Arabidopsis thaliana: one gene and its partner. The main gene of each other region encodes a partner of the protein of the gene in region 2 in a complex. Each region holds a gene or a part of one and is shown on either strand. Other genes may lie near its edges. The genes, in order: CAM7 and ACA8.

Region 1 (6,270 bases), on a different chromosome or scaffold from region 2:
CAAAAAACCATTCAAGAATAATAAAATCTACAATATGGAGTAGCAGCAATAGTATATTAAGTCTTGGTCACTAAGTGTTGAGCAATAAAATCTTCCATGACAGTAAAGATGATGTTGATATTACATGCGAGTGACTTACGAGATATTATCATGACATTATATATGGTTAAACATTTTGATAGATTTTAACTCATTTGTTTTTCTACTTTTATCTCTCAGTTGTTACAAGACTGTTTAGTGTGTTATAGTTTTTGTTTCTTTAATTTTTTTAACCTTTTTCTTTGAGTTTGTTTAGAAAACAGTACATTTCCGTAACTTAATTGGAGAAGTAGTACAATTACTATTTATAATTACTAAAATATTCGAAAAAGTTTTTGTTTGGTGAGAGAGAAAGAGAGGTGTAACAGATTTAAATAAAGAGAAAGAGAGCATTTGAGAGGGAGACGTGGGTCAAAAAAAATTTTCTAATTTTTTTTTCTTTTCTTTATTACATTTCATTCTCTCAAAGTTTAATAATTAAAATACTTGTTTGTAAATTTTATTTTTCTAAAATTGATCATAGAAAAAAAAATCTATGTTTATCGTTTAATTGTTAACATTTCGGCGGTTGGAGACACTACTGGTTTTGTTTATCGTTTATCGTTTACAAGATGAATATAAATCTATAAAACTGTTAAAATTCTAAATTCCTAGAGATAAACTTGGTAACTTAATTTTTTTTCTTAGGACTAAACTAAATGGTTTGAATCCAAGTACATAATTGTTAGTCCTCTACCAGCGGCTCGCATGGTAATCCACCAACCAATCTTTTCTTTATGCCATTACGTAGCCTATATACAAGGTTATTATTATGTTTTTTAAACAATCCCTCGATATATGCAAGTTATCTACTATTAGCTTTCACTATTCTTCGTCTTCATTGTTTTAAGTTAGTTCTTGATCAGCAAGTACAGTGAGCTATAGAATCGAGCAAGAATGAGAGCGGTGGCAGAGGAGATTCAAACGGCTAGGAACGCGATGTGACTCGGGCTGTGAGGGGTTATGCTGGATCAATTCTTTCTCATTCCTTTTAGCATTTTTGGTCTTCTTCTTTTTCTTTTTCTTCTTCTTCTTCTTCCTTTTCTTTATCAATTTACTTGCGCATTCCCAAACATGACTGAGAACAAGAAACAATAAAAACCGAGTAGTTGGTTCCTTCTTTCTTTGGGGTTTAGAAATGAAGAAGATAATAGAATTAACTGTAAAATGTCAATTCTTTTTTGTTTCTTAGTTCGTCACAAAAAAAAAAAAAAGAGAAGAGAGATATATGAACTGAATTGCATAAAAAGAGTCTTACATATTACTAAAGAAAACTTAATGAGCTTGAATGTTAAATTGACAATAACTAAATTAGAAAAACTCTATAAAAACAAACTTATAGTTTATACGGGCCGACCGGATCAGTCGATAAGATTTATTAAAAAAACAAAAAACAAACAAATTTATGGTTCTATTAGTATATAGTTGATACTAATACTAGAACTATGAGTCTATGACTAGTATAGTGGAAATTATAATAATTGTTATAAATATAACTTTAATGACTAACTTGTAAATACTAAAAGTTGATTTTGCATAAAATAAAATATAATTCAATTTTAATATAGAAAAAAATTAAACAATTGAGGAAAATTTATATCTATAATTAAATAAACATATAAAATAAAATTAAATAAAAAACATATAGAACAAACTATTATATACGTTTATGTGTATTATAAATCCAAATATCAAATTCAAATTAGAGCTAATGTTATAGTAAGAAAAATGTCTATACGTAGATAAATTAGTTTTTTTTCAAATATAATCTAGGGGAGAACCACACAAGATGGAGTAGTTTGACAGTACTATTACTCACAAGATAGGCCTTCATCAGCTAATAAACCCTCACAACCTTAACAGCCTTATCAACCATACCATTGGGCCTTAAGTGGGTATTTGAAATAGAAAATGTTTGATCCCAAGAACTTTTACTACTACTTTGTTCTTGCAAAGACACTAAATTTTAAACAATTACAGTGCACGTTTTTGCAACTAGTAAGCAATTATTTCTCCACGTAATGGATATAATTAGTCGATCTCAATAAACTGCAATATTTTAGAGAAAAGAGAAAATAACATCATCAAGTGGTCATGACTCGAGAGACTAAAGCAAATTATGAGTTCAAACGTCACGGACAATAACAAAACCAAAAGGCAAAGAAGAAGCAACGTTACCAAAAAATCACGATCAACAAAACAAACAAGGAAGCAAATCTCTCTGTTTCTTTTGGTTCAATAAATTACTTTTCTCAGTTTTAAAGATGTAAAAGAAAAACATGCTTAGGATTTCGAGGGATAAGAAGAATCTCACTTTGCCATCATGACTTTGACGAACTCTTCATAGTTGATCTGACCATCACCATCGACGTCAGCCTCTCGGATCATCTCATCGACTTCCTCATCCGTCAACTTCTCCCCAAGATTTGTCATCACGTGACGAAGCTCAGCCGCCGAGATGAAACCGTTCTGGTCCTTGTCAAAAACCCTGAAGGCTTCCTTAAGCTCTTCCTCTGAATCAGTGTCTTTCATCTTACGTGCCATTAGGTTCAGGAACTCTGGGAAATCTATTGTCCCGTTCCCGTCTGCATCCACTTCGTTGATCATGTCCTGGAGCTCGGCTTCTGTCGGGTTCTGCCCAAGTGATCTCATCACAGTCCCAAGCTCCTTTGTGGTGATACAACCTGCAATCAAACCAAAATTGGACACAACTTCAGATTTTGTAACGCAAGAGTTCCGAGTATAACTTTATGAACACTAATATTGTCAACAAGATCAGGAAGATATATAAACCAATTATCTTAAACACAAGTAATATGTCAAGTTTTCAAATGCAAGAAAGCTCAAAAATGCTCTTAGTAAAATATCCTTACACTACTAACCCCAATCATAGTATATCTCATTTAAAAGGACGACGATTCGACAAGTAAAACTGATTGTTCGGAAATCATCTACCAAGTTAACAAAGAAACTTCTTGCACACAAACCACCAAGCAACATTTAAAGCCTCTTTCTAATCAAAGGCCAGGAAATGCACAATGTTCTAAATATGATGGTATTCTCTTAGTAATCAAAGGCCAGGAAATGCACAATGTTCTAAATATGATGTTATTCTCTTAGTAATCAAAGGCCAGGAAATGCACCTATTCTCACAAGAAAGCTCAAAAATGCTCTTAGTAAAATACTCTTAAACCCCAATCATAGTATACGACAAGTAAAACTGATTGTTCGGGAAACATCTACCAAGTTAACAAAGAAACTTTTTGCACACAAACCACCAAGCAACATTTAAAGCCTCTTTCTAATCAAAGGCCAGGAAATGCACAATGTTCTAAATATGATGGTATTGCCAATAAGCATCACAAAATGCACACCGTTGCAAGTTCTCAACTATTGTAAAGAAGAACAACAGAGATGATATTATCAACTTCTTTCTCTATTTTTCTATTTGGCAACATCACACAATAAACCAAATTTCGTTTTTTAGATTTTGAGTATAAACATCTGCAGATAAATCTACATGTTACAATTGAATCTTAAAACCACAATGCCACTAAATTTTGTGAGAACGTACAAATCCGCATGATTATAATCACAGGATTTGTTCAGAATCATAGTAAATCACAGAGAAACAACTAGATTCCAATGTACGATTCCAATGTAGGATCTAGAATATGATGAATAACCTAATTAAACAAGATTCCATAACTACAAATCTTAGTAATCATCAACGAATATACTAAAGGAGATTCTACATATTCTAGATCCTTCTATAGAAGCAAAAATCAACCCTAAACACTCTGGAGATGTGAGCAAGACTGAACGAATCAAAACGAGATCGTTCTTCAAATCACATGAAACAATAAACGAAATGTGCAGAGATTCACGATCACCGCGAAGAAATCTAAAAAAAAAACGACAAGAGAAAGAGATCTGAGAGAAGAAGAAGAAGAAGAAGAAGAAGAAGAGACCATCTCCGTCTTTGTCGAATAGGCTAAAAGCTTCCTTGAACTCGGAGATCTGGTCATCGGTTAGCTGATCCGCCATTTTTTTTGTCTTCTTCGGATTTTCTCGAGAAAATTTTTGCTGTGATATTTTCTTGTTTCTGGAGAAAGTTGAAGCGCGTGAGAGTGAATGTTCCTTCTCCTTTATAAAATGAGATCTCACCAGCTACAGGTAAAATGAGGTATTTTTGAATTGACGATTTTGCCCTCCTAAACGTCTTTCTCTTTTAATTTCTCAGACCAAAAAATTAAGAAATTCTAGTTTTGGGAGAAATTTGTTTTTTAGGTTTGCAACTTAGTTTTTACTATTTTAGGCTAATCTACTAACTACTTATGTCCAGATCATGAACTTTCTGCTAATAGTTTTGAATTTGATATTTTTGTATTATTGTTATGGTATCTTGGTATGATATATATTGATGTAACCTGATATTATACATTGATATCCAAACATTGGTGTAGGCAATTTGATAAAATTCATTTTCTATTTGCTAAGTTTATTTTAGGGTAATATTAGATAACCAAATAAAACATACAAATTAAGAAACTAGTAGAGAGAAAGTTTTTTGTTACAAAATAACCATGGACCCATGTTGTCGGAAGAAATGAAATAACAAAGCTACCTTTCATTTGTTGTAAGATGAACTGTAAACGAAACACATTCGTGTAATTTTTCAAAATAACATGTAACATTAAAATTTCACATGTTATATTTAGTTTTAAAACATGCTATTTAAAAAAACGTCATGAATTTTTAAGAAAAAACATTATTATGAAATTTTCTTACATGAACATAATCCTTAAAAAAAATTTATATGTGATTTTAATAAAACCGTGTATTACTAAAAAATAAGAATATATTTTTAAAGAAATCACGTGTGATCTTAATAAAAAATGTGTATTACTACAAAATATCATGATAAAAAGAGATATTAAACTGAATAGAATGTTTTTTCCATAAAATACCATGTGCTTTTTATAAATACTATGTAATAAGAGAAAATAACAAGATAAAAAGAGATATTATGTTATCGCATGTATTTCGGAAAAAAAACATGTTACAAAGGATATTTATGTAATTACATGTGTTCTCCAATATGTTTCCGACAAGCTACTGTGACTCAAGGTTAGTTTGTACATTCTTTTCAAATCTATAATCATTTATTATAAATTCTCTTTATTTTATCACATTTCAAAATTATAACACAAGAAAGAAAATGGTTAGACAATAAATATTAGTAGACGATTGAGAATGATTTTACGGTTTTTCCGTAATTTAGTAGAAAATTTTTGTAGAAAAATTTCCCGCCAATTGCGTTGATTTTACGATTTTTAAAAAATTTATATAATTGTCATCAATTATTTTTATAGTTTACAATTATTATTAAGTAGCACTATACCACAAAATATTTTTTGATTTTATATAATCTTTTCTAATCAGACTGATTTGATAAGTGGTGCTAAAAATAATAAATTAAAGATTTAACCCGTATTCCAAAAAATAAAAAAATTCTAGTTTTGTGACAAATTTGTTTTTTAGGTTTGTAACTTAATTTTTACTAACTTAGGCTAATCTACTAACTACTTATGTCCAGATCATGAATTTTCTGCTAATAGTAAAGCAAAAATCAGATTTTCATATTGAATTTGATATTTCTGTATTATTGTTATGGTATCTTGATATTTCATATTGAATTTGATACATTGATGTAACCTGATATTCTATATTGATGTCCAAACGTTGGTCTAGGCGATTTTAACGTTAGTATATATTAAGGTTTACAACTTGTATCTATTTAAAGAAAAATTATATTTTATAGTTTATAATTGTTATTAAGTAACGGTATAACACGAATTCACAAGACAATTGTTAATAAACAGTGCAGTTATATGTTTCCCTTTGTATTCTGACTTCTTATTGTTGGAGGCTTCTCTGACTTTTTTTTATGTTTGTGATGGTAGCTCTTTTTGAATAGGTATGTGTGAAATGCGAGAAATGCAGAGGAATTTTGACTTGCCGGATATATAGCTTTGATCTATTGTTTGTTCCCGTTATTGTTTTGATGGTAGATTATTGCGTTGAGGTTAAGGTGTTTGCTTTTTCTTAGTATTATATCATAGAGCTTCTTTTTGGTATGGATCATTCTGTTCTTTTTGTTATGATTGACTTCCCTTCGTTATAGGTATG
Region 2 (4,838 bases):
CCTTTTTTTTTTCTCTGTAAAGATAATATATTAAGATAAATATCTTACAAAATACAAACTGATAACCATAAACTTAGCCCCAAGAACCCCTTATTCCGGTTACAAAATCCGGCATCAGTTAAACAGGAAAAACAAACTTAAAGCCATGTTTGTGGAATCTCTAAACTTCTTACAATCTTAACTTGTAATTGCTTTCCAAAAACTTGAAAAATATAAAACATTAAGAAACAATCAATTTTAGAATTGATTTTCAAGTCTTCTTGACCTCACTTGATAATAAAAAGACTTCGGCAATTAAGACTTATGCTTCCCAAAATTGCATGACGGAGCCTCAATTGAGGTGAATTGAAACAGTCTAAAAGAGCAAGGACCGGTTTAATTTTAAAAGAAACCTAGCTGTCTTAATTTAATTTATTTTTGTAGCATTTTCTCGCCTGTCTAATCCACTTTTTTATTCGACATATTTGTTATATATACCGTACATCTGGACTATACGTATATCTATCACACACCCATATTATTATAGTTTGTAAATTTAATAATAATATCTGACGATTATTCTAATAATTGAGATATTCCGTCACAAATCTTAATTTATTTTGTTACACTTTACAGGTGTTCATACTTAGTGGTGTCGAAAAGCTTTACAGGGACTCATCTACGCGTAATTTAAAAAAGGAGACCCCATTATGATCTTTTCTATATAATTACAACAACCTCTTTAAGTAAAGTAAATTTTATTTTTAGTTGAATTATATTCTTTGTGAATCGTTTATTCGCTTTGCATACGTGGAAATGAACATGATATTGAGTAGGAATCGCTTCTTATTAACGTCTCCCAAATACAAACAATTTTTTCATCATTCAACACGACGTTTTTTGAACGTTCCGTTTCACTTTCCATGTTTCCGCGTTTTTTTGAAACGCAATTTACCTTTTATCGATTCGGCAATTTTTAGTGGATAGAGTTATAAAACAATTAATCAGAATGGTGACTATAAACGAATTATTCGTAATGTTTGTTGTATACTATTGAAGTAGTCGGTGCATAAAGACAAAACGTGCGTTGGTGTTAGTTAATTACTTCTACCAAGGCTCTATTAACAGTATACGATAATGAAAAGTTGAAAACATACTAACTAACATGTATTCACAAGTAAACAATGCCATACTCTAGTAGTCCAAAGTTCAAAATACTCTTTACAGTGTGTAAAAATTCAATATGTGGGCTCGAACTCTGAAATAGTCGAAGATAATTTTGTGGGTTAAGACACCAGAATATGCAATTTTTTTACTTATGTTTTTTTTGTCTATTTGTTAGTAAATGCAAATTTCCAAAATAATTGTAAAAGAAGAGACCATACAAGTAACATGCGAAATAACGTAATAATACATAATACATAATACTTAATGTGACTCCACCACTGTACACGTAAGCCAAACTTTTATTCAATGTTATGATATATTTCAATTTTCATTTTTTTAATATAATTTTTACTTAATTATTAGATGATATGACACATATATTTATAAAATTTCAGTTCCTTAAATGTTATTAAATAATTTAAATAGTACCATGATTTAAATTGGTAAAAAATATGAAGGAAAGCTTTTGCTAACCTTCTTTACTTCTGTTTTTTTTTCTTTTTCTTTTGGTTAGATAGATTCCATTTAACTTAAAATAATAATCCACAGTTTTTTTTTTTTTTTTTTAACACAATAATCCACAGATTTTTTTAATGAGAATAAAACTAAAAAGGAAATTTGATGCCACCAGCATTTAATTAGCGCGTGCCACGTAGTTTAGTTTCCAAACAATTAAAAATTTACCCATAACCGGCCCAAGAACTTTTATTTACTTACCTATTAACCCTAGATCTATATATTTGCTCACTACTGTTTTATCCCAAACTTTAGAGAGATAAAGCATTCTATTAGTTTCCCGGCGAGGACTAGTCACATTTTCCGGCGAACTTACCGGAATTTTCTCTCCAGGTAGAACTTGTTTCTCGTCTCGATTTTCTCTTCAACCGACTACGAAACGAGTTTCGGATTTCGAGAAAAGCTTACGAATAAAAATTTTAATTACTGTTTTGTTTAAATTAAAATTTCGCAGTGTTGGTCGCTTTGTCTCCTGTTGTTCTTATTCTTCGTCTTCTTTAGTCTTACCTAATTTGAATTTTTGTTGACTACTACTGGAGTAAACCGTTTCACAGCGTTTTTCTCGTGGTAGGAGTGACTTCGCGTTCATCGATTTTTTTTTTTTTTTTTCCGATTTTACATGATATTGTTGTGATTTAAGGCTAATGTCAAGGATTTTTGAAGAAATCTGAGAAAATATCTGTGGCTGTTTTGTCGCACTCTGGATTTTTCCCAGAGAGAAGAAGATACTTTGTTTCGAAGAAGATATTTATCTTTTTTTTTTTTCTTACTTTTTTTTTATCCCGGAGAAATTGCTTTTTTCTTGCTTGATATTTCACGTGGTTGTCGAAAGCAGAAGCAACCTTTAAACTGCAAACTTACTTATCTTTTGATTTTTTCTCAGTGGTTTTGAGATTTAGGGATTTGAGTGGTTTTCTTCTTGTCTCTTGCGACTGCAACGATGACGAGTCTCTTGAAGTCATCGCCTGGACGACGCCGTGGAGGCGATGTGGAGTCTGGGAAGAGTGAACACGCAGACTCTGATAGCGACACTTTCTACATCCCATCGAAGAATGCTTCTATTGAGCGGCTTCAACAGTGGAGAGTAAGACCTAGATCCTTCTTAAGTCTGATGTTGTTTCATATTGTGAGATAAGAATGCTTGTTTATCTGTGTTTGAGCTAACAGTGAATTGTGTTTATTACAGAAAGCTGCACTGGTTCTCAATGCGTCCCGGAGATTCCGGTACACCTTGGACTTGAAGAAGGAGCAAGAAACGAGGGAAATGAGACAGAAGATCAGAAGTCATGCTCATGCTCTTTTGGTAACTTTATTTGGAAGCTGGTTAATCATGTCTTTATCATGAGATTGTGTAAATTACTGATTAGCGTCTTCTATTTCTTTATTAGGCGGCGAATCGTTTTATGGATATGGGACGTGAGTCAGGTAATTTTGGCTAACTGTGTACTTTGGTGTTGTGCATTATCTGGTTCTGAATGTGGAGAAGAAAGTCTTTTTGTATAAACTTGTTGATGTGGTCTTTTTTTTTTCTCACTTCAGGAGTTGAAAAAACAACTGGGCCTGCAACTCCGGCTGGTGATTTTGGAATTACTCCTGAACAGCTTGTGATAATGTCAAAGGATCACAACAGTGGTGCCCTGGAGCAATATGGAGGGGTAAGTTTTCAGTCATGAAACATGCTTATGTCTGTTTTCTTATAGTCGTTCTCTAATTATCTTATTGGTATGCGTGTATTTCTTGCATCAGACTCAAGGATTGGCCAATTTGCTCAAGACAAATCCAGAGAAAGGTATCAGTGGCGATGATGATGACTTGCTAAAGCGCAAGACCATTTATGGATCAAACACATATCCTCGCAAGAAAGGGAAAGGGTTTCTGGTATGAAATGCATATTTATTATTAGCTCTATGCTACAAGTTAGGTTTTCCCTGCTCACTTTCTTATCAAGCGTATTGGTTTTTTGTTAATCATTACAGAGGTTTCTTTGGGATGCTTGCCATGATCTCACCTTGATCATTTTAATGGTTGCTGCTGTAGCGTCTTTAGCACTTGGGATAAAAACAGAGGTTTGTGATGAAATCAATTAACTAAATTTGGCTCTTCCCTCTTTCCCCAGAGTAATGTCACCTCCAAATTAACCTTGGTCTTACACAATCTTTACTAACTTGGATAACAATCATCGACAGGGTATCAAAGAAGGATGGTATGATGGAGGAAGCATTGCATTTGCTGTGATTCTTGTGATTGTTGTGACGGGTAATTTAACTTGTTTCACTTTTTTCTTTTTCTTTTTAGGTGTCTACAGACTTGTTTCACTTAATATAATAATTTTGATAATGACTCTTACTGTGATTTTGATGCTTTCTTCTCCTCTGCAGCTGTCAGTGACTACAAACAGTCGCTCCAGTTTCAAAACTTGAATGATGAAAAGAGAAACATACATCTGGAGGTATAAATTTTCCCCAATGATACTTTTCCTCATACTCTCTTTTTCTTATTTCCTTCTTAGTTACACTACTCTTTCTGTTGACTGCTGCACAGGTGTTAAGAGGTGGAAGACGAGTGGAGATTTCGATCTATGACATAGTGGTGGGTGATGTCATTCCTCTCAACATTGGCAATCAGGTGAGTGGTTTATTCTCCTTTTAATTTTGTTTTTGTCCATATTACCTTGTCTAATCGAAGTTTAAATTTATATCTAGGTTCCTGCTGATGGAGTACTGATATCTGGCCACTCTCTCGCCCTTGATGAATCTAGCATGACTGGAGAGAGCAAAATTGTGTGTTTTTGTTTCCTGTCATAGTAAAATTGTTGATTTTCTCGCTTCTTCTTGGTATAACTTTCTATGTGTCAATTTCCCTTTCCTTGTCAGGTTAACAAAGACGCTAACAAGGACCCATTCTTAATGTCTGGCTGTAAAGTGGCAGATGGAAATGGTTCTATGCTGGTAGGACGACTTCCTAGTTTTTCTTGTTCAGCAGAACTGATCTCTTGGGAGATAGTTATTAATCTCTTCCATTTGTGTGATATGTATGTTCTTTTCTTTCTGCAAGGTTACTGGTGTTGGAGTCAACACTGAATGGGGATTGCTGATGGCCAGTATTTCTGAAGACAATGGTGAAGAAACTCCCTTGCAGGTTGATATCTTTGATCATTGTTAAGGAATCTTTAAATG

Evidence for each region.
Region 1: the proteins of ACA8 (region 2) and CAM7 are in contact, whole or in part, in a crystal structure (PDB 4AQR), measured with the Arabidopsis thaliana proteins. Residues at the interface, in NP_001331281.1 of Arabidopsis thaliana: Ser40, Arg43, Leu44, Gln45, Gln46, Trp47, Arg48, Lys49, Ala50, Ala51, Leu52, Val53, Leu54, Asn55, Ala56, Ser57, Arg58, Arg59, Phe60, Arg61, Tyr62, Thr63, Leu64, Lys67; in NP_189967.1 of Arabidopsis thaliana: Glu12, Phe13, Glu15, Ala16, Leu19, Phe20, Leu33, Val36, Met37, Leu40, Gln42, Glu48, Asp51, Met52, Glu55, Val56, Ile64, Phe69, Leu72, Met73, Ala74, Arg75, Met77, Lys78, Asp79, Thr80, Glu85, Glu88, Ala89, Val92.

Annotation. Positions count from the first base shown.
Region 1 is NC_003074.8:15,662,231-15,668,500, forward strand, and holds CAM7 (calmodulin 7), read right to left. Parts: upstream 4,240-6,270; 5' UTR 4,126-4,239; coding exon 4,050-4,125; exon of another isoform or gene 3,404-4,049; intron 3,251-3,403; exon of another isoform or gene 2,763-3,250; coding exon 2,393-2,762; coding exon of another isoform or gene 2,389-2,392; exon of another isoform or gene 1,902-2,388; intron 1,157-1,901; coding exon 958-1,156; 3' UTR 770-957; downstream 1-769. UniProt on the Arabidopsis thaliana protein: Calmodulin mediates the control of a large number of enzymes, ion channels and other proteins by Ca(2+). Among the enzymes to be stimulated by the calmodulin-Ca(2+) complex are a number of protein kinases and phosphatases. Activates MPK8 in vitro.
Region 2 is NC_003076.8:23,114,622-23,119,459, reverse strand, and holds the start of ACA8 (autoinhibited Ca2+ -ATPase), read left to right. Parts: upstream 1-1,773; 5' UTR 1,774-1,995; intron 1,996-2,056; exon of another isoform or gene 2,057-2,229; intron 2,230-2,545; 5' UTR 2,546-2,602; coding exon 2,603-2,746; intron 2,747-2,848; coding exon 2,849-2,965; intron 2,966-3,050; coding exon 3,051-3,087; intron 3,088-3,201; coding exon 3,202-3,317; intron 3,318-3,408; coding exon 3,409-3,540; intron 3,541-3,638; coding exon 3,639-3,728; intron 3,729-3,848; coding exon 3,849-3,918; intron 3,919-4,040; coding exon 4,041-4,111; intron 4,112-4,203; coding exon 4,204-4,287; intron 4,288-4,364; coding exon 4,365-4,442; intron 4,443-4,535; coding exon 4,536-4,610; intron 4,611-4,716; coding exon 4,717-4,800; intron 4,801-4,838. UniProt on the Arabidopsis thaliana protein: This magnesium-dependent enzyme catalyzes the hydrolysis of ATP coupled with the translocation of calcium from the cytosol out of the cell.